Linked DNA regions of Astyanax mexicanus. The protein of the gene in region 1 binds, or shares a complex with, the protein of each later gene. Links are inferred from orthologs where the notes say so. Each region holds a gene or a part of one and is shown on either strand. Other genes may lie near its edges.

Region 1 (16,575 bases):
GTGAAAGTATAGGATTTGGTTCCAAATTGTTGCTGTGGTATAAAAGTTGGTTGCTAAGATGTTGGCAACAGTATAGCTTACTGTTGATAGGTGTTGCCATGGTATAGTTTTGGTTGCTAAGGTGTTGCTATGAAATATGAGTGGGCTGCTAAGGTGTTGCTGGGTGTTTTTGCAAAAGTAGGCATTAGCTGCTAGTAGTAAAATCAAACAAATACCTGAAAATTATTATTCCATAATAATCCAGACTAAAACAATAATATTGAACAAACCTATGGTTTTATTTGGTATGAGCCACACTATAAAGTTGCCAATAAAAACACAAGTCATTTGCATTAGCCTATATCTCATGTCATCAGCTAAATGTCCATACAGCATGAATTTAAACTAAATTAATAATATTTAAACTTTAATCTTTTATACCTTACAATATTACTGAAGACACAATACAGAGGGCCGAAGTGAATCCCCACAGATGAATAAAAAAATAAAACAATTTTGCATGTTAATTATTGTTGCATCACTGGGTCCTGTGATATGATAATTTCCAAAAGGGTGTAATTATCACTTTCCACTTGGCTGCAGGCCTGGCTGGTGCATCTGAAACAAGCTCTCCCGCTTATAAACACCACTGAGCAAATGTTCTAAGGAGGCTCTGAGTTTCACACGGCCTGTCTGTAATGTTTCAACAGTCATAACATCCTGCAGCCCCGAGCACCGAACAAACCCTCCAATGTTTGCTGGTAAACACTGTAATTAGCTAGAAAAGGTACTGTATTCTACCACCTCGTGTGTTTAAAAGTGTGTGTTAGAACTGTGCTGGAAACTGACTGCTGAATAATTACAGTACTGTGCAATAGTTTTATAAATTATAAAGTTATGGAAATATATTGGCATTATGAAGCTTTCAGGTTTAACTCAGTAAAAAGCTTAACAGTCCTGGGTGTCAAACCAAAAAACATGTGATCAGTAACCCTGCACTCTAAGGAAAAGGCTTTCTGTGCATATCCCAGCTTGAAAAGCAGAAGTCAGAACTCATGGTTAGCTGTGCATCATCACTCCTGGAGTAGAGAAGGACTCTGGGTATCTAAAGGTCTGGGTATCGAAACCACAACCCTGTAATTACCTACTAATAACTACTAAGTCACCACTGACCCTCAACAGGAATGCTCAGAATGCACAGGGTTAAACCCATAACACCATGATCAATAATTTAGTGCTCTAATCACCAAGCCAGCAGAAACAGTAAGGCACTGTTTGTTTGTTTTTTGGAAAACGTTGATTTTAAAACAATTTTGTAAAACTAGATATATAGATAAAAAAAATCAATATAGTACATATAGTTTTTGAGGTTTGTGTGTGTGTGTGTGTGTGTGTGTGAGAGAGAGAGAGAGAGAGAGAGAGACTGTGTGTGAGACTGTGTGAGAGTGTGTGTGTGTGTCTGTGTGAAAGAGTGTGTGTGTGTGTGTGTGTGTGTGCCTGCGCGCGTGTGTGCGCGTGCAGACAGCAGGGTGGAATGAACACAGCTGTGTTGTTGTTGGGTTAGCGGTAGCACTAGCCTGTTACGTAACCCTTGCGCCAAACGAGCAGCCGGTAACGCCGCCGAGCCAACAACCGGGGACCCGCTACCTCTAAAAACCCGGGATAAAAGGCTTTAACACAGATCAACAGCAGGAAAAAAAAAACATTTATACAGACACCAACATGTCTTATGAGTGGAAAGGGCGCCTTAAATTCAGTATATTCTGCCACAGTTTCAAGAAACATGCAGAGTTTGAGATGCTGAGACAGATTCAGTACAAGGATACAGGGAGATACTCGGGGCATTACGGTAACCGGAGCCCGTGTTCCCGCACTGCGCTGTGATGATCAGCATCACCAGAGCAGCCTGTTATTATTATTATTATTATTATTATTATTATTATTATCATGAATAGTGATGGGAAAACATCTGGACAGACGCTTATAACAGTTTAACATAGGGGACTGTTGGTTTCGGGGGTTATTTCTTGTTTCTTTAATTTATTTATTAAAAAGTAACTATATTATTGCAACCCCAGGCTGATGTGAATGTGAGGCGGGCGCCTGGTGCTCTCACAGCCGCTGTAAACACGACATCAGCCGGGCTCCGTCCCCCCGCTCTCCCCCAGCAACAACACGGGCAAGGAGGGGCGGTCAGACCCGCCGCCCGCTCCCGCCGGAGCTCCCAGTCCGAGGATAAACGAGATGGATAAAGCCGGGACAGGCGGTTACCTGATTGTTAATTTGCGCGCATTTCAGTCTCCGACATTTCCCCGTTTCGCAGTGTAATCCATCGCCGCGTCTCTCGGCCCCTTGGTGCGGCATTAACGTCCCCGGCTGCCTCCTGCCCGGTGGAACAGTCCGCGGACTGCACCACTCACTGCTGCGGCGGCGGGGCTACATGTGGAGCCCGGTGGCGTGCCGGTTTGTGCAACGGTTCGATACGTGCTTCTCACCTGTTCTGCGCATGCGCTGACACACATTTGTCATGTGTTTTTTTTTTTCAGAATGTGTTAAAACAAAAAATATATAGCAAAAACATTATTATTATGTTACATTACTGTGGTTGTGCATTGCGAATCAACACCGTAGTAACCAATTACCAGCACCATAGCAACCATCACATACCTGTCAACTCTCCCGTTTTGGCCGGGAAACTACTGTATTTTAATCCTCTTTCCCACCGTCCTCCCGTATTAGCATTTTCCCGTACATTTCCTGTATTATCTCATAATAATAAAAACATTCCTGTGTCTCTCCAAACTGAAATATTGAAATATAAATACTATAATACTATAACATAAATACTGAAATATAACAGTTACTGACATATGTCACTAACCTCGCGAGAACTGCCACTTGAGGTTAGTGCTGACAGCGGAAACAACATCAAAACAACAAAAAAGATGTAAAAGATGTAAATAAGATATAATAATATAAATTATACACAATATATCATGATACTATGATACTGAACCTTGGTTGGGCTGGTGGGACGGCTCAAAGCAGGCAGCGAAAAATATTTCCTTATTTTTAAATACAAATTTTTAGATACCATAGCAAAATCTTAACAACCACCTAGCAACCACTTAGCAGCCCCATACACAATAGGAAAAATAACTACAGAAGCTTGACGCTGGGGCTGTATCTTATATTATAAGTACAATAGAGTACCGTTTAGTGAAAGTTTTTTCTTTGTGCTCATGTTTATAAGATTATAAACATCAATAAGATAATCATAAACTGAATATGAAAATTGTATATTTAATGTATTGTTTATTAGTGCAGTGATACAGATTGCTGGATGTATTTTTGCTTTTTAAATAATACAAATCAGACATGTTTAACCAAGACTGAAATGTTTAATTACTTCAAAGAAACACATTTCAGTTATTAATGAAAAAAACATATATGGTTTAGTTTTAATGTCTCTTTAAATACACTCTGCGACAGCACGTTTTGACAAGGTAGCACAAATGGACACAACACCAGACACCAAAAACACGACCTGACACCACACACGTGCCATTTTTGCCCGGTAACAACATTAAACATAACAATTTATGTTAATAAACACCTCTAAAAGTGTTAGTTTAGGTTGAGTTACCGTTTGATCGCACATTAACGTATATATTAGAGTTACCCCTATTTGGAGCGTTTTAAAGACGCCCTGCATTACGACTCGCTCTACCGTAATTACTGTAATACTCCAGCCCAGTGTCAAACAGCACGGCGGCCAAGATCATTAGATCATAATACCATTCAAAAGATAATGCCTGATATTCAGCTCTGGATAATGAGAAACCACTTAAAAATGACGAGTTTCTTTGATTTTACCAAATTGATAAGCTCTGGAATATAATCAAGAGGAAGAGGGACGATCACAAGCCATCAAACCAAGATGAACTGCTTGAATTTCAGGAGTGGCATAAAAGCAGTGTGTAAGACTGGTGGAGGAGAAAATTATGCCAACTTTATGAATTTGAATGGATTTATGAATATGAACCTTTCTTTGCATTATTTGAGGTCTGAAAGCTCTACTTCGTTTTTTTGTTTTTGTTATTTTAGCCATTTCTCATTTTCTGCAAATAAATGCTCAAAATGACAGTATTTTATTAGTAATTGGGAGAAATTGTGTCTGTAGCTTATAGAATAAAACAACAACGTTGATTTTACTCAAACATATACGTATAAATAGCAACATCAAAGAATTATAATAATTACTTGCCACTAAAACGCATAACGCAGGCTATATGAGGATAAACACGTGGTAGTGTTATTATTAAAATGAATTTAGAACAGTCTGTGGTTTAAATCTGTTCATTTGTTAATGTATTGCTTTTGGTTATAGCTATGTATAATAAAACATCACACATGTATTATTATATTTTGAATAAATAGTTAGTGCAGTCATTACACATTATAATGTGAGCAGTATAAAAAATCCTATAATAATGTCTATTATAATAATGTGTTCTATAGCGCCCTCTACTGGCCCAGTAAATTACACTGTCTGGGTGTAGGCCAGAGGAAAACACTGCAGACCTGATTTAACTCTGTTCCACTTTGGACTTTTATAGAATACAAACCAAACAAATTTATTTGTGAAAAATAGCCTTTAAAAACCCATTTAAATATACATATGCATGTAAAGTGAATTTATTTTATATTGACTTTTTTATTTTATAAGCCCTTCCTAAACACTAAATAATCATGATTAAAAAGAAATACCCACTATTGTTCAGCACCTCCAGAAACTCCTTCCTTCAAGACGCTGAGAAAACTATTCCAGGTGAAGAATAGAATATAATTCCCTCATAAAGACACAGATTAAAATACCAAATGTGTGCAGATCTGTTTTCAAATATAAATGTGATACTTATTTAAAAGAATCTAAAGTATAACATATATTCTTTTTATATTCGATTCTTTTAGACTTTTTTATTCATAAATAACTCTGCATGTGTTCCTGTACAGCCATAATATTAAAAATCATAAACAGAAAGAAATATATTGTATAAGAAGAGTAACTTTTTGACTCAAACTTTAAACACAGTGTCTCTATTGTCAAGTTCAGAAGGTAAGACACTAATTATTAATGCTAAAATATGGATTTAATGTTTAATATGTCTCTTGCTCTCTGTCTCTCCATCACACACACACACACACACACACACACACACACATATATATATATATATATATATATATATATATATATATATATATATATATATATATATATATATATATATATATATATATGTATGTATATAAACACACAGCCACAGCTGGACCCTAATTTAAAAAAGCATCAAAAGTACCATAAGACATAGTAAAGTAAAACAGATGCTGGTTTATACCATAATTTAAGTATCAGCATTTTACATTTTAATGGAAGACATTTTTAGGTGATAGACAACAATAATATAACTAACTAACTAACTAACTAACTAACTAACTAACTAACTAACTAACTAACTAACTAACTAAATAAATAAATAAATAATCATTTAATTTGGCCAATCTTACATTCATTTACACTTAAAACTTAAACAAAAGAAAAATGTGTGATTAATCGTGATTATTGTTTTTAATCGATTGACACCAGTACTGTAAATGTATTAAAAATGCTTCTCAGTTTCTCAGGCTGTATGTTTGCATGTAACGTGGCACCAGATCAGATTACAACAGTTTGTGATCTGATGATCACACGTGGAGCTTCATCACTCACGTCTTATCACATCAGTGTATTATAGCATTATAATAAAATAAAATGACATTCAGAACTCAGTTAGTGACCTTTGCTCGATAGAGAGGAGGATGCTCTGTTACCAACCATAAAATATAAACACAGCCCAGCTCGACACAGAGCGCTGCTTATCAGATTCAGGGGATATGTTTGTTTTACAGCCTGTTATTAAAGCACAGCTCAGTTAATCATCAGATCACACAGAGAGATTCACACTGAAAATAACACTCTCCTTAACTTCCATTCACTATATTAGATATTTAATAAAAAGTAAAGTAGCTAATGCTAATGATGTGGATCCTCAGATCAGGACAGGCTGTGCCCATCTTCACTGTTATTTAATAATCCGTATTTCCTCTAGATGAGTAAACTCTGCAGACTGCAATAAACCAAAGTCTAAGAGGATAAGATTAGAAACTTATGAAATATTCCCAGCAGAGCTGAGTTTCACTTGTGTTTTTACAGTAAACCCATTTTATGATTTGATATGTTAATTGCATTTATTTTTATTTGATTTATAACTTTGTATTGGTAAATGGTAACTTTTACAGTATAACATAATGTTATATACTATGCCTAATAAAGTGTTATATTCTATGCCTATATATAAAACACAGTCTTCTATACTATGGCTATACATAACACAGTGTGATATATTATGCCTAACACAGTATTAAATACTATGCCTATATATACCAGTGTTATATACTGTGCATCTATACAACACAGTGTTATATACAGTACTTTGCCTAACACAGTGTTGAATACTATGCCTATATATATAAAACACAGTGTTATATATTATGTCTATATATAACAGTGTTATATTCTATGTCTATATATAACACTGTATTATATACTTTGCCAATTTATAACACAGTGTTATATACAGTACTTTGCCTAAAGCAGTGTTATATAGTATGCCTATATATAACACTGTTATATACTTTGCCTAACAAAGTGTTGAATACTACGCCTATATATAAAACACAGTATTATATATTATGTCTATATATAACATAGTGTTATATACTATGCCTCTATATAAAACACAGTGTTATATATTATGTCTATTTATAACACAGTGTTATATACAGTACTTTGCCTACAACTGTGTTATATACTATGCCTATAAAAACATAGTGTCATATACTATGCCTTTATATAACACAGTGTTATATGCTATGCCTATATTTAACACAGTGTTATATACTATGACTAACATAGTGTTATAACTATGCCTGCATATAAGTGTGTTATATACTATGGCTTACATAGTGTTATATACTATGCCTATGTAAAAAACATAGTGTTATACTATGTGTTGTTATATACTATGGCTTACATAGTGTTATATACTATGCCTATGTAAAAAACATAGTGTTATACTATGTGTTGTTATATACTATGGCTTACATAGTGTTATATACTATGCCTATATGCCTATATGTTATATACAGTGCTTTGTCTGACACAGTGTCATATACAACATTAAATAGGCTTATTATAGAACACTGTGTTAAAAACAGGGCTTCACTCTGTGTTATTAAATATTTTTTATATATTTTATTATGTAGTTTACAGTGTTTATGAGCATATAACCCATGTTTTGTAGCTTGTCTAGTGGTTCAATACATATTTTACAACATGTGAGTCTTCAGCTCAGCTAGATTAACACTGAGACTGTTCCTTCTACTGCGATATAGTAGTACTGAAATAGTAGTAAATCTTTTTTTGTGTGTTCAAATTGTCCCAATTGTGTCCAAGTTTAAACCAATATTGCTTTGAGGTTATGCTGAATTTTTTTTTTCTTTATTTCATCTACTTTGAGTGATATAGCAGTTCCACTGGCAACAAGCAGACCTAAAGCATGATGCTCCCACCACCATGCTTAACAGTTTGTACTGTATCTTTAGGGTTGAATGTCTCACCTTCTAGTACTCTGAACATCTTTGTCTCTTTTAATTATAAAACTTTCCTAAAAAGGGGTTTTTCTCTGTCCATGTCCAAATTTCAGTCAGCTTCATGCAAGCATTGGTAGAACAGGGACAGGGTCTACCTTCTTGGATGGAAACCGCTTGGCCTAGAACATCAATATGTTTAAGCCTTGCCATGAGCATGTTGGTCAGTGTTATTCAACCTCACTCATAATATAATAGCACACTCAACTCAATATCTTATATAGATGTGGGCAATCCTGAGCCTTTACCTGCTGTTTTACACTTTTATATCAACTGAAATTCTACTGTCCTATGACTTTTGGCATGCAGTTTATACTCAGCCTTACACAGTGAACTACAGTATTCTATCCTGAAACCTGGGGTCATTAGAGAAATGCCCACCATTGTTGTTGTTTTTTTTTGTTGGCAATGAAACATGGCCCTGGTCCCATTCATGTCTCATTCATTATAAAGCTCTAATGGGGGGACGTGGGGACAAGGGGACAAGGGGACGGGAAGAGAAGCTCATTAGTGTGAGTTCCAGAGAAGGAGGGGTTTATCCAGAGCTCACATCGTGACCCATGTGTTGGGGTTCTGTCAGACCAGGAGCATCACAAACATGAGGAGCTGACAGATAATGGAGAAGATATTGTTTAAGAGGAATCTTCCTCTTATCTCCTTGATGCCAGAAAAGGACCTGCTGATATGACAGGACTCCAGTAAACAGGACAGAGGAGCATCACACTGCTTCTGTGGGACCAGGATCAGGTATAGGACATTATTTGGCGGTTTAGTACTTCTAGGACATGTGTTAGGCCTCATATATAAAACTGAATTAGGCCTAGTATATAACATTTTGTAGGAGTTAGAATTATAGTATCTAACACTGTTGTAGGCCTAGTATATAACACTAAATTAGGATTAGAGTATACAACTTTTGTAGGCCTAGTATATAACATTTACAGTCAGGATTAGAGTATATAACAGTGCGTTAGGCTTAGTAAATAACAAGAAATTAAGATTAGAGTGTATATTAGTGTGTTAGGCCTAGTATATAACACTAAGTTAGGATTAGAGTGCACAACACTCTTTTAGGCCTAGTATATAACATTAGATTAGGAGTACAGCACATAACACTAAATTAGGATTAGAGTGTATAACAGTGTTCTAGGCCTAGTATATAACACTAAATTAGGATTAGAGTGTATAACAGTGTTCTAGGCCTAGTATATAACACTAAATTAGGATTAGAGTGTATAACAGTGTTCTAGGCCTAGTATATAACACTAAATTAGGATTAGAGTAAACAACACTGTTGTAGGGCTAGTATTTAACATTAAGTTAGGATAAGAGTATGTTACACTAAGTTAGGATTCGAGTATATAATAGAGTGATAGGCCTAGTGTATAACACTAAGTTAGGATTAGAGTATATAACACTTTTGTAGGCCAAGTATATAACATCAAGTTAGAATTATAGTATATAACACTTAAATTAGGATTAGAGTGTATAGCACTGTTTAAGGCCTAGTATATAACATGTAAATTAGGATTAGAGTATATAACACTGTTTTAGGCCTGGTATATAACACTTACAGTCAGGATTAGAGTATATAAGACTGTTGTAGAGCTCTGGAATGTAATTAGTAGGAAGATGGATGGTCACAAGCCATGAAAACAGGGCTGAACTACTTGAAGGTCACCCAAAAGCAGTGTGTAAGACTGGTGGAGGAGAACATGATGCCAAGATGCATGAAAACTGTGATTTAAGAACAGGGTTATTCCAACAAATGTTGATTTCTGAACTCTTAAAACTTTATGAATATGAAAGTGTTTTATTTGCATTATTTGAGGTCTGAAAGCATTACATATTTTCCTTATTTTTTAATATTTTTCCTTATTTGTAAATGCTCAACAATGTTAATTTTGCTCAAACACATGCCTATAAACAGTGCAATCAAATGGTTTATGGAGCAGTATGGGTCTAGCTTTAATTTAGGCCTCATATGAACCTGTGTTAGGTCTGGTATATAATCTGATTATATCTGATTGCAGCATTTGACAGGTAAATGACCCCCTGTGTTGGGTAGGTGTGTGTGGAACATGATTTGCTGTGACATTTGTTTAGCTGCTTCGACCACTCTTGACCGGCTGAGCTGCTGTCAGTGTTAAGCTGCTTTGTGTGAAGTGTGTGTGTGTGTGTGTGTGTGTGGAGTGTGTGTGCGGGGTGTGAGGAGCTCAGACGAGCTAACCCGTGCTGCTCCCGTGTTAATGATATACGTTTACAGCAGCGAGACGGCAATCAACAGATCTGTCTCAGGCAAAGGTGCCTCCACAGCCTCAGTCCACCCACACACCCTTCAGAGGAGCATCCAGAACACCAGCCGAGATGGTGAGTTCCTTTAATACTCTTAGAAAACATAAAAAAATATATATATTTCTGCATTTTACAGACATATAAAACATTTGTGCTGACATACATTATATAGTCTAAATTTAAAACCAGTACATTACTAAGTTACATATAAAAAATATGTTTTTTTTTTGCTATAAATAAATAAATAATAAGAGAACATCACAAATGCATCACAAAAATTTTATCTTAGTTTTTTTCTTCTTATGTTTTTGACATAATGTGAATCTGACTGTTGTTTTTTATTATTGTCTCAAAATTTTATGATGAATGGACCAATATTATATAAATTAAAATTACATTTAAACACCTTCTACTATTAACATCCATTATCCAATATAAAAAAAACATATCATCACTGTCCAATTAAAAAAAAACAAATATTTCGTAACTTTATAACTTTTGAATTTACTACAGAATTTAAATACACAAACTGTCCCTCTTCACACTCTTTTATTTATTTTGAATAGATTGACCAATAGAAATTCTTCAAAATGACCTGAAATAAACTTTTTTACATTGACTTAACTGTAACGTTACTTAGTTTTTGAGTTTAGTTTTTGAGATACATGTTTTTTTTAACTACAATAATTTACTATGTAATTCTTACATACTTACACTATAAAAAACACTGTATATTGTCATGTAGACACAAAGAAATTAACGATTTTACTTACTTACAATTAAACAAATATAAATATGACAGTTTTTCTTTTCTTTTATTTAGTTTTCAATTTTCAAGATGAATGGACCAATTGATATGCTCCAAAATTAAATTAAATAAACAAAATAAACAAATACATCTAAATGACATTCAACTGCATTTTTTTTTTTGTTAGTTGCGTTTTAACAGCTACAAGGAATTAATCAAGTTCATTCACAAGTTTTGTATGTGCATATACAGAAAGGGATTTGTATATTATGAGTATTTGTTGGTTTCTTTAATATACGTTTGAAGTGAATATAATAGTTCTGTAAATTGTGGCTGTTGCACAAAAACCCATGCTATGAACCGCATGGACCAATACAAATGCTCCAAAATAGCTTGAAGTATATATATATATATATATATATATATATATATATATATATATATATTTTTTTTTTTTTTTTTTTTAACTGACGAGAAGAGTGTGTATGTAACAGTAAGTGTATCATATTTTATCAAATCTCTGGAAAAAATGAAGAGAGCACTTTAGTTTCTGAATCAGTTTCTCTGATTTTGCTATTTATAGGTTTATGTTTGAGTAAAATAAACATTGTTGTTTTATTCTATAAACTACAGACAACATTTCTCCTAAATTCCAAATAAAAATATTGTCATTTAGATAATTTATTTTATTATTATTTGCAGAAAATGAGAAATGGCTGAAATAACAAAAAAGATGCAGAGCTTTCAGAAAAGAAAAAAAGTTCATATTCATAAAGTTTTAAGAGTTCAGAAATCAATATTTGGTGGAATAACCCTGGTGTTTTTTAATCACAGTTTTTTTTTAATGCATCTTGGCATCATGTTCTCCTCCACCAGTCTTACACACTGCTTTTGGATAACTTTATGCTGCTTTACTCCTGGTGCAAAAATTCAAGCAGTTCAGTTTGGTGGTTTGATGGCTTGTGATCATCCATCTTCCTCTTGATTATATTCCAGAGGTTTATATATATATATATATATATATATATATATATATATATATATATATATATATATATATATATATATATATATATTCTGAAGTTAATTTGCTTCATTTCAGAATAATAACTGAATATGAGAGAAATGTTTTTATAGATGATGAGTTTATAGGATTAATTTTATCATCACATTAACGTGATTCTGTTTCTCTGCAGTCGGACGGTTGGAGAATGAGGAACTCGCTGCTTCTGCTCTTAGGCTTCTTTATCACCTGTAAGTATGTGAGAAGCAGGTTAAAACAGATGAGCTGAGATTTACTGTTTGTTACACAGCAAACGCCCAAAGTCCAGAATATTATCTGAGCAATTTCATGATGATGCAGAGCCTCTATTATCAGTCTTATTTATAACTGCTGAAATGGCATGCGGAAGAAACGTGTTTATTACCTGTATATTACTGATAGAAGAACATCGTACTGCTCCCTAAAAAAACTGAAAACCTTAAATTCAGAATTTCTTTTTGTATTTTAAACTGTTGTGAATGAATTCACCCAATATTCGAATAAAAAAAATATGAAATTATTTAGTAAAGAACAAAGTGTGTTTTATATTATACGTTTTTCATAGTGGCACCTCTTGCTTAGATAAGACAGTTTTGAACATCACTGCTGGATTTTCTCAGTCATTTTTATGAGGTAGAGTCTCCTGGAATTCAGGCTTTCAGTTAACAGCTGTGCTGAACTCATCAAGAGTTAATTACTTGAATTTCTTGTCTCTTAATAAAGTGTTTGAGAGCATCAGTTAAAGTAAAGTAGTGAAGAGGTAGAGTTACAGGTATACAGTGAATAGTGAATATTTCAGTAATGTTCAGTCAATGTTTTTTAAAAGTATAGCCCCAAAGATCGTCAAAAACATTATGATGAAACTGGCTCTCATCAGGTAAAGAAAGACCAAGGCCCCTCCCTATTTTAGTGATCTATACTATAGACGTCAATTGTGCTTCATGCAGTTGGATTTAGGGCGTTTTGGGATGTCTATGGTTTTGTGAGGATAGTAAGTGTGTACAATTCTAAAAATCAAGTAATTGAGACTGAGGGAACTCTCCCTGATTGGCTGAAGATGTGCACATGACAGAAAAGGCACAGAGAAGGGTGGATTATGGGAAATGTAGTCATTATAGTCATTATCAGTTTATAGAAGCAGAAAAGTGGCTAGAGAGCTTTATTTTATATATTTCTTCGTGTGTTCCGGCTGTTCTAACACTCTGTGTTTATTCTTTAGGTTACTGCCAGACTGTGCCGACCATCACCATGAAAGTAGTGCAGCATGTGCGAGAAGATAAACTCCCAGGTAGAGTTTTTACCCATTACACTGGAGTCACGTGATCAATAATCACACAGTCCCTAATAATGACATGCACTTTTATTTTATTTTATTTTATTTTATTTTATTTTATTTTATTATTTATTTATTTTATTTTTATTTCAGTCTCTAATAATGACTTGCATTTTATTTATGATTTAATTTAATTTAATTTAATTTAATTTAATTTAATTTAATTTAATTTCTGCCCCAAATTCAGCTGATCAGATTTAAAAAAAATCAGTAAAAATTAGAAATGAATGATAATTAAGCTGCTTGATCATTTTTCTGATGATACTTACATCTCTTGCACATTGTTCTTTTTTAATCATTGTATTGCATTTTTAAAATCATTTTTATGTTTTTTCTCTTTATGGTAGGGAGCGATATATGCATGTATATTTGTATTTGATTCTTTGTATGTATTCTTGCATTTTTGTATTAATTAAGATATATTTATCTATAGTTGACGGTATTATTCATAATGAATATATTATATATTTATAGTTATTGTTAATAATTATAATTTGTAGTTTATTCATGCTCCATTGCAATTGCAAATCTATCTATCTATCTATCTATCTATCTATCTATCTATCTATCTATCTATCTATCTATCTATCTATCTATCTATCTATCTATCTATCTATCCATACAGTGACATGCCAGAAGTCACGGGACAGGAATATTGACTGTAAAGCTTTCAGTGTAATCTGGTTTACAGTTGTTCGATTTTTGCTTTTTTTAACAGTTTTAATTGAACTTTAGCTCTTTCTGCTCCACAGGTGAATTTGCGTTCCAGATTGAAGCGTTTGATCCGGATGATGACGTGCTGACGTACGGTATAAGAGACCGGTTCGATTACTTCACTGTGAATTCTGCCACCGGCGGAGTTTTCATCAAAAATCAGCTGAACAGAGAGGTACGTCCAGACTAAAGAACCCAGATTCTGAACACTAAACACACTGAGCTGCACTGAGTCTTAATGCCTCAACCTGCCGGACTATCTCCCCCCTCAGGTTCGAGAGTTCTTCACTGTGGAAGTGATCGTTAATGACGGAGTTTACTCTGACGTAAGTTCAACTCATGCAAAACACAATGGATTTTGAGATCATACGCCACTGCAACTAGTTAAAATACCTTAGCAACCACCTGAAATACCTATAGGAAGCATCTGAGCAAATCTTTAGAAACTCGTTAGAAACTATCCTAGTACCACCAAGACACACCTTAGCAACCCTTAGTCAACGCCTGAAATACCCCAGCAACTGCTTTATCAAATCACACAGAAACCCATTAGCAACTACCTGAAGTGTCATGGCAACCACGGATAAAGCACCTTGAGCACACTTTAGCAATCCCTTAGTTAGCAACACCTTAGAGAACAGTTGAAATACACCAGCAACCGCTTTATCAAATCACATAGAAACCCTTTTGATCTATCATAGCAACCACCCTAAAACAAACACATTTTAGCAACCCCTTAGTGAACAACTGAAATATCCTAGTAACCACTTTAGCAAATCACATAGAAACCCTTTAGCAACTACCTGAAGTGTTTGCACACTTTAGCAATCCCTTAGTAAGCAACACATTAGAGAATAGATTAAAATACCCTAGCAACCACTCACAAATCACACAGAAACCCCTTAGAAGTGTCATAGCCACCACCTACGGACAAACACATTCTAGCTACCCCTTAGTTGGCAACACCTAAGCGTACAGCTAAAATACCCAGGCAAACGCTTTAGAAAATCACATAATTATCAACTATCTAAGGTGTCATAGCAGCCACCCTAGCAACCACCGATAAAGCACCTTTGATAAAGAATCAAAGGCAATGTCTTAAAAACTTAGCAAAACTGTGTAAAACTGCTTGCTTTATTTTTCAGGTCACAAAAGACATCACCATTATTGTGGACGATGCAAATGACAATGCGCCAGTGTTCCAGAACCTACCGTACAACATTAAAGTTAAAGAGGTGAGTCCTATTTCTTTTCTTTTTCATTTTAGTTTATCCATTTATTAATATCTCTGTTTATATTTTTGTGTATTTTTTCTCTGGTGATGATGCAAAAAAAAAAAACTAGAGAATTCTGGTCTGAACATATAAACATATAAACATACATAGCAGTATTTAACTATATATAACAGTGCAAGTCCCCCTTTGCATACAACGTAAAATTAAGAAGAAATAAAATAATTCAGAATAAATGTGGACAGTCTAAAATTTGAAGCAGTCAAATAAAAAGATAAAAAAGTAGAATAAAAAAATAGGAGCCTAAAAGAATTAAGTTAAAGCTAAAAATAACACACAATAAATTAACTCTTAAAGAATTTAATGTAACGCTATCCAAGATAAGATATGATCCCACTCCGTTTTACACTATAGCATGAAAATAATCACTATAGAGTTAATTCAACACCATATGGAGTCATATATTAACTTTATGTAACTCTCATCAGTGTTAACAAATTTTACCCCACAGGGTAAAACAACTCTTAAAATTGGTAATTAATTATTTTTTTAAGTTTGATTAAATTTATTTTTGGATATTTTCTTTTTTTTTATCTTTTTTTTTTACACAGACACATTTTAAAAATAGACACTATTTTAACCCTGAATAATAACACCAACTCTGTGGATTGTTCATCACTGAGGGTTATTAGGAAAACTGTTCTTTTAACACTGTTTTTTTTTTTTACTGTGTACTTTGTGATTCTTTGGGGATTCAGAGGTGCTAAAGTGGCTCCCCTGGTAGCGTCGAGTCTGTTTGAGGGTGAGGCTGGGTAATTCTCTTGCTAATCTCTGTTGATTACACTGCAGTCTTGGCCTCGGCGATACCTTGGCCCGACAGGCTTAGAAGGACTCATACTGCTCTCTTACTGCTGGCTGAGGTTGCCAGAAAACTTCACAATCTACCCCTAACAAAACCAGTACAATTGGTGCTGCCTGGCTGATGACCCTGCAGTCCAGGAGCTTCCTGTTCAATTATTGTTTAAAGAGCAAATGGCATAAAAATATGAAAATATTGGTGAAAAAATGTGGGGTAAAATGTTCGGACTTATGTACATGTATATGTTTCTCTTCTGCAGAACACGCCTGTAAACAGTATAATTCTGACCGTCTATGCCACGGATGAGGACCAGAACACGGCTGGAATCGTCAGTTACGCAATCTACGATGTAAGTTGAAAGACCGCAGCAACCACCTTGAACACTTTGGTGACCCATCTGGAAGACCCTAGCCGCCACGTAAAATAACTTAGAAACCCTAAGGCAACCGTAACTACCAATACCCTATAAAACACCTTAGCAACCCTACAGAGTAGGAACACCTTATCTTCCACCTAGAAACACCTTAGCAGCCATCACCTTAGGGCCATCAAAACAACACCTTTGTGATCAGCAAAAACACCTAAAGCTACCACTTGAGAGAAAAGGCCAACGTAGTCCCA
Region 2 (16,687 bases), about 30 Mb from region 1:
TCCAGAAGCAAGGTTCTTGAAGGTTGTGCCTATTCTCAAGAGAAGGATTTCACCCTTTTCTCTGGTAACTTTGTTCAAAGGGGAAGAGTTAGGCTCAAAAACAAGGGGTAGGGGTATGAAAAAGAAATGGGATCAGGCCTTTATACAGAAATAATGATAACGCAATGATAACTGAAATTTTGGGTGTTCTTTGATCACTTGTGCAGCCGTCTTGCCACTGATTTATAACTGAAAACATCTGAAAAAAAAACTCAGTTTGGTGGCCGTGTAGCCTTAACTCTTCACCCTACCCCTCTTATATATATATATATATATATATATATATATATATAGAGTTAAAAAAAACTCAGTTTTTTTTTTCTTGCAGACACAGCACAGAAAGTAATTCTACTGACTGTCTATACCTCAGTGGAGGCGTGAATATGTAAGGTGTTCTTCAGTGCTCTTCGGACTGACCAAAAATGCCCTTGTAGTGGGTCTGGTGAAGCTCCTCGTTCCGGAATTTGGCTCCCTGAAGCTTCAGCCTAGTGTTCACCACCCACATCGGCGTCGTCAGGAGCACGTTTACAGCCCCTTGAGCAGCAGACACAACAACACTGAGTTACAGAGGTTAAATGCATTATGTTTCAGCTTTCTTGGTTTATTTGTGAGCTTTCATTATGCAGCAAACAACTAAGCTGTTAAGACATTCTGGTAGATTCCAAACTGTGTTTATTAAGTTTTTTTCATATGGCAGGAATCGTTAGCTGCGTCCCAAAGCCTACAGCTGAGGTTGGATGCAAAATGAAAAATCCTTTATATGTATAGCTGTGAAATGCTGTCGAGAATGCAGAAATGCTGTTTGGAGCAATCTGAAGGACGCGGCTGATGTATCCTTCATGTCTATCAGTTACCCACAATTAGCAGAACAGTAAAATAGCACCATGGAGCATCCAGAACAGAGTTTGTTTTATAATGTTTGTTAAGATGTTGAGGTTTGAGCCACATTAAACTTTTCAACTTTCAAAAAATTTCAAGTATGTGACCAACAGGCTACTGAGAAGGAGATTTAAAGGACAGACAGTTCTACCGAGAAGACTTTGAAACGCAGCTATAGAGAATATTCTGTATGCCGTTTCCCACCTGAGATGAAGCCCATGACGAGGTCCTTTCCAGGTCTGGACTGCCGTTTGTCGTGGATCATCACTTTCTTCAGGAAGTTGAAAGTGTAGAAGTAGACAAAGTTAGAACAGCAGAGGCTGGAGATGACCGGAAACCAGCCTCGATACAGAGACATTCTGCAAAGTCAAAGAGGAACCAGTAAAACAGTGAGAATTAGTGATCTTGATTACTTGAGTGTGCATGTAGTTCTTTTATTATGTAATTGTGGGATTTCCTAGGGAGTCTATACAAATCACACAATGCCACAAAACCTCAGCACTTTATTACAGGATTGTAACTCCTCTATCAGTGCATGATACAGGGGTTACACTTTAATATATCACATTATACTGTGATAATGTAAACAAGAGATGTATTGCAAAGGTTTATATCCAATTTTATGAAAAGACACCATCGTATTTTAATATTTTGTGAAATCAAAACAACACCACTATCTATAGGCGGGTTTTAAACACAACACTTAATGAACCAAAGTTTGCCATAATTAAAAATCAATACTGTGTTTTTGAGAATTAAGATTTTAGTATTGCAAAACTAAATATTACAATATTTCAATATATCAACATTTTCTTACATGACTAGAACTGATATTTCCAACGTCTGTACTCGAGGTGTAAGATTATAATTATAATATTTAGGTCAATGTATTGTATTATTGAGCTATGATACAGTAATACAGAGTACTTACATCCCCTCTTCCTTTGCTATCTCAGAGAGAATGACAGGAGTGGATTTGGACTTCCGGTTCTCGTCCACTGAATCACAGCAGCAAACAGCGAATAAACAAAACTCAATTAATACTCAATAATATTAAGTTCATTTAGATATTCTAGGTCCAGAAAATACAATAATAAACACAGGGTTCACTGAAAAGCCCAGTTTATTCAACTTCACCCTTTTACCTAATTGTAGAAGATTGGGCAACACATGTTTGGTGTCCAAAGTCTGCTTATATTGTCTTCTACTAAAGTTAGGAGGCTAACATAATAAAATGATAAAGTTCTAACTTCTACTCAGACGGGATTAGTTTTATACAGGGAGGTGAGGTAATATAGCTATTAACAGAGGATCTCTGATTCAGTCCCGCTACTGTGCACTCTTATATCAATCAGTAAAATGCTTTTATCTATTATAGCGCAAGCCACGAAAATAAGCCCATGAAGTTTCAATAATAGAAATGTTTACTTTTTATCCAATCAAAAAATTTGAATTTTTATGACATAGTATAACACCGATATCTAGTGGATGGGGTTTAAACAGAACACTAAATGAACCACTGTCTGACACCAATCTTTACAAGGAAACTAACAAATAATATTTAAGTTTTCATAAACCGATACAGCATTGCAAAACTAAATATTATGTACTGAAGTTTTGCAGACGTATCTTTTTAAGCCCGTTTACATGCACTCCATAATCTGATTACTGCAGAACATCAGAGTAATCAGTAATCAACACATTTACATGAATTTGTGTATTCAGATAATGGGACAACTCAGACTTTACATAAGTATTTTTTCTTTTTGCAGTTTTTGCTTTGCAACCAGCCAATAAACTCAAAGAATAAGACGTAACGTAAACATCAGCTGGGTAGCCTGAATAAATTCGGCTGGCTATACTGCTAACCAGAGCTGATTAGCGCTGCTGACCAGGGCTAGCTATGTTGTTAACTGTGGCTAGCGCTAACCCTGGAATACTGGAGTTCTAAGCTTACTGTAAATAAACGGAAGCCCTTTATTCACCCAAATTAAGAATTTTCAGAAATCTGTGTAGATTAACATCCAGTGCTCGTTTGACTTTTTTTTTTTTGAATTACAGTTTTGTTTACTTTACTTTTACTCCCATTAGAAGGGAAACATGGGGACACTCTTGCTCACTTCAATGTAGGCTTCTTACTAGTGTCCTTTAATGTGCCTTATAATCCAGGGCACCTTATGTATAAAAATAGACCAGAAAATAGACGTTCATTAATAATGCACCTTATAGTCTAAAAAATACGGTAATCAGATCACTGCAGTAATAAGTAGCCACCTTAGTATCCACAAATAAATAAAGGCTCTATGGAGGACCGCCATACTCGTTTTGAGGGACTGCCGAAGAAGCAGTAACAACTGTAATTTTGAACAGATTTTTGAGTGCATGTAAACGCACTCAGTGATGAGTAACTAGAGTTGCCACTCCTGCCTCTATAATTTATAAAGGGATTTCTTATCCCACTTGAGTCAGTCATTATAGATAAAATCCACCTGCCAAGTCAATAGGTTACATACCCTCACAGAAACTCTGTGTCAATTCAATTATGTAAATGTATTTTTCAGTGAACAATTCCTTTAAACAACAGTAAAGATGAACTCACAATCCTCAGGAGCAAAGTCCCAGTTTTGTTAAACCCGCTAATCAGTAAACAGTGCATCAACTCACCCTGAAGCCTGATCCTGGCTGTGTCCAGCGGAAAGAACACAGTCATTGCGGTCACGCTGCCCTGTGAACAGCAGAATAGTTGATCACTAAGTGGTCAATAAGGAAAATGAATTCTAGGATCTCAGATTAAGTTTTATTTATTTAAGAAGTACATGATCCTTGACTCATTAAGAATTATTTAATAAAAATAAAGGTGAAGTTTGCAACAACAAGGTTATACCTTAGTACTCTATGTATGGTGTCCTAAAATGAATGAATGTATGAATATTACAGACTCTGTGAGCATTCATGTAAAAGTAAGAAACATAAATCTACACAAACAAACATATAGAGCAGTGAAGATGATCTATGTAATCTCATACTCTATGTCCAAATGTCTGAAGACACATCACACAATCTTTTTAACTGCCATTAATATAATGTATGTAATTTGTTTGCTATGCTATTATTTTAACAAAACATAAAAAAAAACATAAATTATATTTATGGCAGTTAAAATCTTTGTTCTACAATTATATAATAGGGAGTTTCATGAGAAAAGGGAACCTTTATACCCCTGTAACCCCTGCATTACATTCTATCAGCAGGGCATTATACACTCATTAGGCAATATATTTGGTATGCCTGTACATCTAATCATTCATGCTAATCTTTAATTAGCCAGTCATGTGGCAACAGTACAATGCATAAAACCTGGACATACACTGAATATTTGGCAACCGAAAATATTAGTCCAAAAATGGCAAAAACACTAATTGACTCATGTTTCAGTGTTTTATCTAACAAAGAATATTTTATGAAGTACACTCTACTTTTAGACTTTTTAATTGCTTTAGACTATTTAATAAACTGCTGGTTTGAAGCCTGATCATGTAGTTTGCTATCAGCTGCCGGAGCCCCGAGAGAGCACAATTGGCCTCGCTCTCTCTGGGTGGGTAGATGGCACTCGGAACCAAGTCACTGCGCTTTCCTCCGAGAGTGCTGTGATGCTACTTAGTAATGCTGCATTATCAGTAGCAGTTGGAAAAGAGGCGGGGGCTGACTTCACATGTATCAGAGGAGGCATGTGCTAGTCTTCACCCTCCTTGTATTGTGGCATCACTAGTGATGGGGGATATACAGCTGAGTAACAGCTAAAGAGCAGCTGAATGGGTGGGAAAATTAGCCTAAATAAATTAGGAGAAAATGGGCTACAACAGCAAACGATCACACTGGGTTCCTGCTCTGTCAGTCAAGAACAGGAAGCTGAGGCTGCAGTGCACACAAGCTCACCAAAACTGGACAGTCATTGCAGGTCAACAAGCTTAGTTGTGCTGGTCATGCTGTTCAATCAGCTTGGTCATGCTGGTCAATAAGCTTAGTTGTAGAGGTCATGCTGTTTGACAAGTATGATCAAGCTTGGGTATAATGATTGAGTATGCCTGTAGAAAAGCTAGACCATCAAACGGAAATTGAAAAACATAGATACACTATACTGGTTTAGAGCTGAGCTGGTCAACAAGCATGATTGGTTATACTAGTTGTTTACCTTGGTAAGGTTCGTGATCACGCTTGTAGGTCATCTGAACCATAAAACCCAAATAAAAAAAGACATAGATACAACCCTATACTGGTTAAGAGCTAAGCTGATCAACCAGCTTAACCAGCTTGATCAGCTTGAGCTGGGCAGGTTTTTTTTTTTGTCAGCAATGTGTGCACTGTAAAGTAGATTCATTTGCTTAAAAAACAAGGTTTGAGGATTCTTTAAAACATATATTGTATAAGTTGAAGAGTGGCGTGGTGCTAGTGATAACCTGATCAAACTTACAGTTAAACTTCAATTACTTGATAGTACTACAGTGAGGAAAATAAGTATAACACCCTGTGACTTCTTCGTCTTGCAAGTTCTCCCACATAGAAATCATGGAGGAGTCTGAAATATTTATCTTAGGTGCATGTCCACTGGTCCACTGTGAGAGACATAATAATTTTTTTTTTTTTAATCTGGAAATCACAATGTATGATTTTTTTAATCATTTATTTGTAGATACTCACTGTATCTACACTGCCTGGCCAAAAAAAACTTTTAAGAGTTCAGAAATCTTAGCATGCATCTCGGCATGTTCTCCTCCACCAGTCTTGCACACTGCTTTTGGATAACTTTATGCCTTCACTCCTGGTGCAAAAATTCAAGCATTTCAGCTTGATTTGATGGCTTGTTATCATCCATCTTCCTCTTTATTATATTCCAGAGGTTTTTAATTAGGTCAAATTAAAGAAACGTATTCTTTTTAAGTGCTAACGTTATCTTATTTTATTCCAGAGCTGTGTATAACTTATTAGTTAGGATAAAGCTGTGAGGTCTTACCATGGCTCCGGCCACAGCGTGCACCAGAGTTTCATAAGACAGAAGCGCCTCCGCCGCTCCGCCGCTCCCCGACATTCCCGCTCAGCGTCTCTCAGCAGCGCTCAGGAACCGGGAAAATACAGGCTATAAAGAGCTCAGACTGGTTCAACCAAATCCCAGCAGATTCAGATAAATACAGCCTGGATTTCACAGGATTTCCACCACTGACAACACAAACACAACCCCGGCTCTGCAGATTCACCGATTCACTGTGTGTGACTACACTGCGGAGTATCTGATACAGAGGAGATCACCCACTTCATAATGTGTTCAGGATTCGTTTGACCACTAGAGGGCGCTACCGAGAGAGTCCAAAACAAATGGGTTCCTATGGAGCAATTAAACAAAATCAGACTTTATTAATATTTAGTAACTTTCATACCGACCAAATATTATCATTTTGTCAAAACAGGACAATATTATCACATGTTTCAGTGCTAAAAGAAAAAACATGTATTTTAAAGCTTTTAATCTCTAGTTATAAACGTTTTAAATTCATAGCTCTAAGTTTTTTTATTATTATTATTAATTTCCACAAAACATCATAATACAAACAAGGACATCCAAGATCATTAAAACATACAACCGCAGTGATCCAGCGGAGTAAGCGCTGCCACTGTGATCGGGAGGTCGCTGGTTCGAATCCTGTTTATGTAGCTTGCCATCAGCTACCAGAGCCCTGAGACAGCACAATTGGCCTTGCTCTCTCTGGGTGGGTAGATGGCACTCTCCCTTCATCACTCCAAATGGTGATGTGGATCAGCACAAGGCATCTGTGAGCTGGTGTATCGAGTCGCTGCACTTTCCTCGGAGCACGCTGAGATGCTACTCAGCAATGCTGCATCAGCAGCAGTTCAAAAAGAAGCAGTTCACATGTATCGGAGGAAGCATGTGCTAGTCTTCACTCTCCTGGTGTTGGGGCATCACTAGTGATAGGGGAGGGGAGGGGAGTCCTAATGAGTGGGTTGGGTAATTGGCCTTGTAAATTGGGGAGAAAATAGGATTTTTTTTTAATAAATTCATATAAAAAAAAAACATACAACCGAAAAGGTAAAAGCTAAACAAAACATTTATGCTGACAACACATCTCACCCATAAACCAGCAAATTTAACTCCTTTGTGTGCTTTATAGTGGACACAAGAGCTCTGACTATTAACTTCATCATAAGCTGACCAAGCTTTTTATAAACTGGCCTTATAAACTGCCTAAACCCAGTTTACTGAAGAATAACATAAATATATAAGTATATTTTTTAACAAAATGCATCATTATACTTTCTAAAATGAAATTGTAAAAGAAGTAGAAATACTTAGTTACTGTACTTAAGTACTAAAATGCTGTATATGGAGTATTTTGTTTCTCATACTTCCTCTTTTACTTTTTAAAATTTCATTACTCATTACAATTATAAAAATGTTAGGAATCGTTACAAACCAACATTTCCACTAAAGCCAGAGCTGTAGATGCTCTGCACTGTCATCGCATTTGTTGAAGTGAATAACTACTATTTATTACTATAGATTTTAGCCTTTTAGCTCCCTTTACCCTCATTTATTTTGGACTCACGCGTTCTGCCTTTACGGGTTCGCAGCAATTCTCTGATATAATATAAATTATGGTAGGGAGTGAGAAGGCTCTTAATAAAGCAGCTGTGGCAGAGTATCTGGAGTATTTCCGCGTGTTTAAGAGGAATGCCAATCTGAATGAGCCGAGATCTCCCCCTGCTGGATCGGTGTTTTATACAGCTCTGGAAAAAATTAAGAGACCACTTCAGTTTCTCTGATTTTACTATTTATAGGTATATGTTTGAGTAAAATGAACATTGTTGTTTTATTCTATAAACTATGGACAACATTTCTCCCAAATTCTAAATAAAAATATTGTCATTTAGAGAATTCATTTGCAGAAAATGAGAAATGGCTGAAATAACAAAAAACATGCAGAGCTTTCAGACCTCAAATAATGCAAAAAAAAAAAGTTCATATTCATAAAGACAGTTTTCATGCATCTTGGCATGTTCTCCTCCACCAGTCTTAAACATTGCTTTTGGATAGCTTTATGCCACTCCTGGTGCATAAAAAATCAAGCAGTTCAGCTTGATTTGATGGCTTGTGATCATCCATCTTTCTCGTGACAGTCCTCTATTTCTATTTCTATGTACATCATTATTTGTAAGTCGCTTTGGATGAAAGCGTCCACTAAATGTAATGTAATGTAATTTAATGTAAGAAGCACATGCTGCACAGTGCATTGATGGTGTAGGATTGATACTGGGCTTTTACCTCCTTTATAGTACTCATCATCATATTGCATATTTGCACTCCTTCAGCTGGACTATTTCAGTTGAACTCCCTTGAACTGTTTGTATATATTGTTTCTAAATCGAACCTTGCAGTTACCTTGCACATGAATGTATTATTTATTTGTTTTCCTTATATCATATTCTTAGGAGAGCACACTGAACCTTGTTGTATTTGTGCAATGACAATAAAAGTATTCGTATTCGTGTAATAATGAAACTGAAATATCGGTTAACATAGTATAAGAAAATGATTCGGAACAGAGGACAAAATAAGCAACGATTATCTGTATGACCTGTTTCCTCTCAGCAATCGAGCATCACAATCTCTTCACAAACCCAAACCCACAGCAGATGCTGGACTTTGCTTTAGTTTTATGGCTCTGACTGGGTGGTAATGACGCACCGACTGGAAAATTCAGCCACACTAATTTCTGAGCTGAGAGAGAACAGGAATTGAAGGATCTAACCATGTTTTTCTGAAGCTGTCTGCTCAATTATAGTTCTCTATTTTGTTCAGAGCGAGCTTTGTTTGTCTAACCATGTCTAGGTATCATAAATCAGCCATCGATGGCTATTTGGATCTTTTAAAGGAGGCCACCAAAAAAGATCTGAACACTCGGGACGAAGATGGCATGACACCAACCCTGTGGGCGGCTTACCATGGACGACTGGAGGCTCTTCAGCTTATCTGCAGCAGAGGGTAAGCTTTATTTTATACACTTTTATAAAAAAAAGACATTTATAATGTTTTTGGAATAATGGCAACGATAAAAAAAAAAAAAAGCCGGCACTTTTAAGATGTAAAAAACATACTTTTCTTACCAATATACAAATATTCTTACTGATAAACTACTGAGAAGTATTTAATTTCGGCGAAGTGTTTGTTTTAAGCGACGTAATTTTTCTTTGCGTCCCAGGTTACACTACTCTGCCGTTCATATCTGTGCAATGTAAAGCGCAGCGATTTACAGATATAAATAGAAAATAGTCGACGCGAATCTGTGGAAAGTTAATTTGTGTGAACTGTAATATTTTTTTACAAACGCAAAAAATAAGTAAATTATATTTCCCCAGCTATTTTGTTTTATTAATTTTTTTTATGTAAACTAAAATTGTCAATAACGTAACAATTTTTGTTACATATGGAAGCCCATTCCCGCCACCTAAAAAAAAAAAAAAATCCAGCAAAATGTTTTTTTATTATTATTAAGTAAACTGCTATCTCAATATTTTGAGATACTAAGTCAATATTTTGAGATACTATCTCAATATTTTGAGATACTATCTCAATATTTTGAGATACTAAGTCAATATTTTGAGATACTAAGTCAATATTTTGAGATACTAAGTCAATATTTTGAGATACTATCTCAATATTTTGAGATACTAAGTCAATATTTTGAGATACTATCTCAATATTTTGAGATACTAAGTCAATATTTTGAGATACTAAGTCAATATTTTGAGATACTATCTCAATATTTTGAGATACTAAGTCAATATTTTGATATACTATCTCAATATTTTGAGATACTAAGTCAATATTTTGAGATACTATCTCAATATTTTGAGATACTAAGTCAATATTTTGAGATACTAAGTCAATATTTTGAGATACTATCTCAATATTTTGAGATACTAAGTCAATATTTTGAGATACTATCTCAATATTTTGAGATACTAAGTCAATATTTTGAGATACTAAGTCAATATTTTGAGATACTATCTCAATATTTTGAGATACTAAGTCAATATTTTGAGATACTAAGTCAATATTTTGAGATACTAAGTCAATATTTTGAGATACTAAGTCAATATTTTGAGATACTAGTAGGCTGTACAGAGACAGAAGCAGGTGAGACAAAGATGCAAAATGGATACCATCATTGAGGACTACTTCAGACGTGGATTCACAAATCATGAAATATTGGAACTTTTAGAGGAATCACACAATATCAAAATAAGCCTCCGGATCTTGGACGAGGCTGAAGTTAGCTTCTTATTCGCCAGTGTCTTATTCAGATTTCCTTTCCACCTTAAATGCTGGCTGAACATTCATGCGGCCGCCTGTAGATGGCGCATTTTAACAGTAAAAAACAGCATGTAAGCAAAGTGCTGTGCAAACGCTCTGAATAAAGGGGAGAACACAATGCGAGGGACAGAGTTTAACTCTGAGTGAAATATAATGTAAATAAAATTAAATATGAATTAAAACGTTATTGCTCTCACTTTTGGCCTAATTCCCAGGTCATTATCTACAGGTGGCCGCATGTATATTCAGCCAGCATTTAAGGTATCTCAAAATATTGACTTAGTATCTCAAAATATTGACTTAGTATCTCAAAATATTGAGATAGTATCTCAAAATATTGACTTAGTATCTCAAAATATTGACTTAGTATCTCAAAATATTGAGATAGTATCTCAAAATATTGACTTAGTATCTCAAAATATTGACTTAGTATCTCAAAATATTGAGATAGTATCTCAAAATATTGACTTAGTATCTCAAAATATTGAGATAGTATCTCAAAATATTGAGATAGCAATTTACTTAATAATAATAAAAAAAAATTGCTGGAGTATTTTTATTTTTTAGGTGGCGGGAATGGGCTTCCATAGTTACAATGTGGGGTGCTCTAAAACAAAAAATGTGAACAGTGGAAACTGAGCATTTAATGAGAAATTAACCGACTCCTACCTGTTTATTCTTCTCACACATATGCAGTTTTATGTGTGTTCCATTTAAAGCACAATTTTTTTTTCCAACAGCATATTGTTTTATTTGGAATTTATATCATTTGGAAATGAGGATTTCACTGGATCCTATTTTATTTAAATTAATTTAACATTTGAAATACTTTTTATTTTTAATGTCTTTATCTTTATATAAATTTGCAAACTTGCAACTTGAATCACATCTTGTTGAGTACAGCCAAACCACTGCTGTTCTTTTTTACCACTTTACATATCAGGCTACTTTACAGAGAGCAAAGGTAGCCTACATGTAATTACTCCTTATCCCTTTTAAAAGAATGTAAACTCAGTGCGCTTGCGGTCTATAAACCTTACAGACAGTAATATGTTGTGGGTGTCTTGGTCAATTACCAAATAAACATTATTTTACTACCAAAAATGCAGCAAGTGTCAGTGATGGCCATTGTTCTCTTTTCAGTCTTGGTATTCCCATTAGGGATGCCAAGCGTTTAATGAGGCAAGTGAATTATGTAAATGTAAAACAATAGCGCTTTTCATCCTCCTGTAGCTTGTCCAATATTAAGACTTCCACTAAGCAAGGAAAATATGTTACACATTCTTTGATGCATTCATATTTTGATATCATACAGCATGTATATATTAAATTTATTTATTTCAGAACCATTCCTAATACCTAATTTAAACTCAGAAAAAAGCATTTGTGGTATTAGGACAATCAACTGTTGTTGGGAACTAAGAGAAGATATTTCGCACCAAGATAAGATGTTGCAGATATTGTAGACAGAATCTACACGCAGACCTTTGCCCTTAATGGTTACAGATTAACCCGCGATACTCAGTGTTATTATATTATGTTAGCTACAATAAAGTAGATAGTAAATATGTTTAAAAGCTACAATAAAACGGAGCAGACGGCAGAGCAATGGAATAAATGTTGCTGTTTTAACAAAACATTGTACCTCCAAAATAGTTCATTTAAAAATGTTTAACGTTAAAATAGTTCACAAAAAAGAACTCATTTGACAAAGACATGTTTTGTGCCGAAGTCTTTTTTGTTACTTTTTGGACTGTAGGTTACAAGTAATGGTGGTATTTTAATGTCGCGTTTTGAATAACAGTAATAATACAGGATGCCTTCTTTTTGGAAACTTAACTTTTAACTAAATATTTGTTCACCTCCCTATATAAAATGAAAGTATGATTTATCCATTCAGTTTAAATATCTTATATTTAATCCTTTATGTAATGTCAGGATATGCATACATGTTTTCCAATAATTCACCTGGAATTTCCGGAATGCTTTGCCAGTTTATTCCACAAGGAAAAATATGTCAAACTAAGTTCCATCTGGGCAAAAGCTCTGTAAAGTTTTGTAGTGGTTCATTAACTCTCTTCAAAAGTTTTAAAAGTTGAACTTGAAGAACGGAAAAGTTGTTTTATTGCGTTCGATCCTCCTTGGAATGTTAAAAGAAAAATATCAGATCAAGATAATAATATTAATATTAATTTTGGAATCTTAAACATCTTAAATGAGAAGGTTATTGTTAGATCTTTTCAGGTAAATAAAATTTACCATGGTAGCCTATTTAAGACTGTAGCCCTTAATGATCATCTTTTTTGTTGTTGTTTCAGTGGAGATCCCAACCTGAGTGACATCTGGGGGAACACACCGCTACACCACGCGGCCGCCAATGGACATATGCACGTCCTGAGCTTCTTGGTCAACTTCGGAGCCAATCTCTTCGCTCTGGACAATGACTTTCACACTCCTATGGACGTTGCCGCATCTCGGGACCAGATGAATTGCGTTCGTTTTCTGGACAGCGCCGCCTCCAACCAGACCAGCCAGAATGCCAAACGGGTGGCTCAGCTGAAGAAGCAGGCTGTGAAAGATGCAGAAGTCAGGGTGAAACAGTGCGAGAAGGTCAAGAAGAGGCACCAGAGTAAGATGGACAAGATGTACCGCGGCGGTGGTTCTGTGTCTGGCGTGTCCGAAGCGAGCGCCGCCACCATGACCAGCGGCAACGAGCAGTTCTCCAAGCTTATTGCTGCAGATAAAACTGGGTCCATCTCCTCGACGATCAAAGGAACTTTGCAGCGCAAATTTGGGAAGAAGGACAAGGGAACTGTGAGCAAACAAGGAGACAGCAACGTCATATTCGTAAAGCAGGAGAATGGGAACGCGGAGAAGCCGGATTTTGTGGACGTCTTTAACGAAAATGAAGAAAATGAAGAGGATGAGGACGGAATGGGAGGTTTTAACGATGATGAAGAAGATGAAGAAGGTGCCGGTCAAGCAAAAGAGTCCATTTTCAAAAGGCCTGGCCTTGGGAACATGGTTTTCCGAAGGAATTTCTCCATGGAAATGGGCATGGAACCAGATGAATTTCCAAGCGGCGACACTGAGGACCTCGGCTTCCTCATCCGCAAGGAGGTGTTTGATGCAGAAGAAGATGGACTGGAGGATTATTCAAAGGAGGATTCTCAGCTGCCCTGGAACGAAGAAGAGATCGGATTGGACGAGGATGAAGAGGAGACTTCGCCCCTGGACGCGTTCCTCAGCTCCATAAACCTGCTGGACTTTGCGCCCGTGTTCGTCCGTGAGAAGTTAGACCTGGAAGCACTAATGCTCTGCTCAGACGACGACCTCAAAAGCATCCGAATCCAGTTAGGACCTCGCAAAAAAGTTCTGGATGCAGCAGCTAGAAGGAAAGCAGTAATGGAGCAGCCTGGGGTCATGAAGGACACCTTTCTGTAACGCCAGGATATACAAATAAACGAACATTTACACAATAATTAATCCGAAACCCTCTGAATTATTTAATTATCGGTTCTTCATAGCATATGGGTGTCAAACTTGGTACCATCTGGACCAAAGCTCCACAGAATGTAGTATTAACTTCTCCTAATTTAACAGATCTCAATCAGCTCATCATCTACTTTATTTTCATAAAGACATAAAAAAAAAAAAACCTGCAAGCTCCCTGAAGCTATACTCAGAACTTCATAAAAAGTCAAAAGCTATTTCTAACATCAACATTGTAACGTTTTTTTGCAACATTGTCAAAAAATAAAGAGAGAGCCACAGCTTTCCTAGCAGTCTTTATGGAATGAACCTGGTTTGAGACCCTTGCTGTACACTGTGTGCTATATTGATTTAATGTCCTGTAATGTTTTTGATTTTGACAAATAAACACGATATAAAGTTTTGGGACAGCTTCTTCATTGATTATTCTAAAATTAAGGGTATTAACAAAGAATTTGCCCTGGTTTTGAAAGAATATCTGTCCAGGGAAGGCATTGTACAAAACTACGCACGAAATACATAAAATAAACAGACCAGTAGAAATGCTCCAACAATCATTCCTTTTTAAAGATACGATTTCTTGTTTAAAATATTAACAACATTTAAGACTTAAGATCTAATTATTTACAATTATCTTTACAGCTACTCATTTTTGGGTTTAATGTCTATAAATAATAGCTGAAATAAGTCTTGAGAGTCTTGTACAGCATCACACAGATGGTTTGAAAATGCATAATAATGCAGTGCCTAAAGCATGCAGCAGAATGCCCAAAAGCGCACAAAATACATAAAAGTGCAAAGAATGCGTAAACGGTAACAATATTACGCACTGAATGGGTACAAGCGCACTGAATGCATAAAAGCGCACATAATGCGTAATTACGCACCGATTGCGTAAAAGCGCACAGAATGCGCACTGTAAAAAATGTCCATAGAATTTACGGTGAAAAACTGTCAAACCATGACAGTAAAAGACTGTAAACGCTAAAAAGGCTAAATACTGTTTCGGTAACAACAAAATACCGTAAATTCATATATCATCCAATACACTAATTTTTACACATTTTCTCTGTAAAAAATACATTATTTCAACGTAAAATTCTCTTGCACTGTGTTTATAACAGAAATTTTCCGTATTTTTGGATAACTGGTAAAACCGTAATTTCTACATTATTTTTTTGTGAATAATACATTTTTTCTTTGTTAAATATACAAGCCATTATTACATTTCCGTATTATTTAGATAACAGCCAAAACCGTAATTTCTACATTATTTTTTTGTGAATAATACATTTTTTCTTTGTTAAATATACAAGCCATTATTACATTTCCGTATTATTTAGATAACAGCCAAAACCGTAATTTCTACATTATTTTTTTGTGAATAATACATTTTTTCTTTGTTAAATATACAAGCCATTATTACATTTCCGTATTATTTAGATAACAGCCAAAACCGTAATTTCTACATTCATTTTTTGTGATTAATATTTTTTTTTACTGTTAAATACACAAGCCATTAATAAATGTCCATATTATTTGGATAGCGGCAAAAACTGTAATTTCTACATTTATTTGTCATGAATAATATTCTTTTCACCATTGAATACTGTAAAAAATGTCCGTGAAAATTACAGTGAAAAACTGTGAAATGGCAACAGAAATAAACCGTAAAGCAAGAACTAGCTTATTGTTGTAGAATAAACATTGAATTACCATAAATTAAAAAACTGACATGGCAATGGTAATAGATTGTAATATTAAAAACAGCATATTACTGTATAATCACTGAGAAAAAAATGTAAAATTTACGGTAAAATACTGGCAGCTGTGGTTGCCAGAATTTCACCGTAAAATAAACGGTTGCCAAGAATTGTACTGTAATATCTTCTACATGGCAACCGTTTATTTTACAGTAAAATTCTGGCAACCACAGCTGCCAGTATTTCACCGTAAAATAAACAGTTGCAAATGTATAAGATATTACAGTTTAATTCTTGTCAACAGTAAATTTCACATTCATAAACCGTTTTGTTTACAGTATATTCTTGTGAAAAAAAGTATATTACATTGAAGGAGAAGGATATTATTAGGGCATTGTATATAATGAGTTTGTTTGCTCCTGGATTTTATTGATATCCGCAGGGTCTGAATGGGATGTAACGCAGCTGTCTATGGGGCGTGGTTATGTTAATTAGATGTTTAGTTTAGAGAAGTCACCATGATGTAGTTTCATAGCGGTTTTATCCACCTGGCTGGGTTTTACACTATGAGTATATAAGTGATTTTACTCTCCGAGCACATCTCTGTGCTGTAAGTGAGCAGTAGTCCAGTTAATGAAATGATTTTGATAAAGATCATGCTGTTTAAAACTGTATGTTGTTAACAACACACATTTACAGCGAGAATCAAAATTATTGCACAACCACATACCAAGTGTTTTAACAAAAATTGACCATAAAATAGGACAATAAATGCTGTGGAATGGATAGTTTTTCACCGTAAATTTGACAAGAATTTTTTTTACAGTAGGCTTTTTACAATGTAATATACTTTTTTTTTACAAGAATATACTGTAAACAAAACGGTTTATGAATGTGAAATTCACTGTTGAAAAGAATTAAACTGTAATATCTTATACATTTACAACTGTTTATTTTACGGTGAAATACTGGCAGCTGTGGTTGCCAGAATTTTACCGTAAAATAAACGGTTGCCATGTAAAAGATATTACAGTATAATTCTTGGCAACTGTTTATTTTACGGTAAAATTCTGGCAACCACAGCTGCCAGTATTTTACCGTAAATTTTACGGTGTTTTTTTTTACAGTGCGTAATTACGCACGGAATGCGCAAAAGCGTGCAGAATGCCTTAGAACGCATAAATACACA

What was found.
Region 2: cdhr2 (region 1) and anks4b share a complex: the UniProt entries of both Homo sapiens proteins name them as parts of the IMAC/intermicrovillar adhesion complex. The link is inferred for Astyanax mexicanus from reciprocal best matches to the Homo sapiens genes CDHR2 and ANKS4B.

What each region holds. Positions count from the first base shown.
Region 1 is NC_064426.1:2,353,660-2,370,234, reverse strand, and holds the start of cdhr2 (cadherin-related family member 2), read left to right. Parts: upstream 1-9,920; 5' UTR 9,921-10,098; coding exon 10,099-10,101; intron 10,102-11,970; coding exon 11,971-12,028; intron 12,029-13,035; coding exon 13,036-13,104; intron 13,105-13,901; coding exon 13,902-14,038; intron 14,039-14,135; coding exon 14,136-14,189; intron 14,190-15,008; coding exon 15,009-15,098; intron 15,099-16,213; coding exon 16,214-16,303; intron 16,304-16,575. UniProt on the Homo sapiens protein: Intermicrovillar adhesion molecule that forms, via its extracellular domain, calcium-dependent heterophilic complexes with CDHR5 on adjacent microvilli. Thereby, controls the packing of microvilli at the apical membrane of epithelial cells.
Region 2 is NC_064426.1:32,611,595-32,628,281, forward strand, and holds anks4b (ankyrin repeat and SAM domain-containing protein 4B), read left to right. Parts: upstream 1-8,673; 5' UTR 8,674-8,810; coding exon 8,811-8,971; intron 8,972-12,621; coding exon 12,622-13,747; 3' UTR 13,748-14,198; downstream 14,199-16,687. Other genes in the region: peroxisomal membrane protein PMP34, read right to left, coding at 457-573, 1,123-1,277, 1,850-1,916, 3,583-3,643, 5,930-6,004. UniProt on the Homo sapiens protein: As part of the intermicrovillar adhesion complex/IMAC plays a role in epithelial brush border differentiation, controlling microvilli organization and length. Plays a role in assembly of the complex.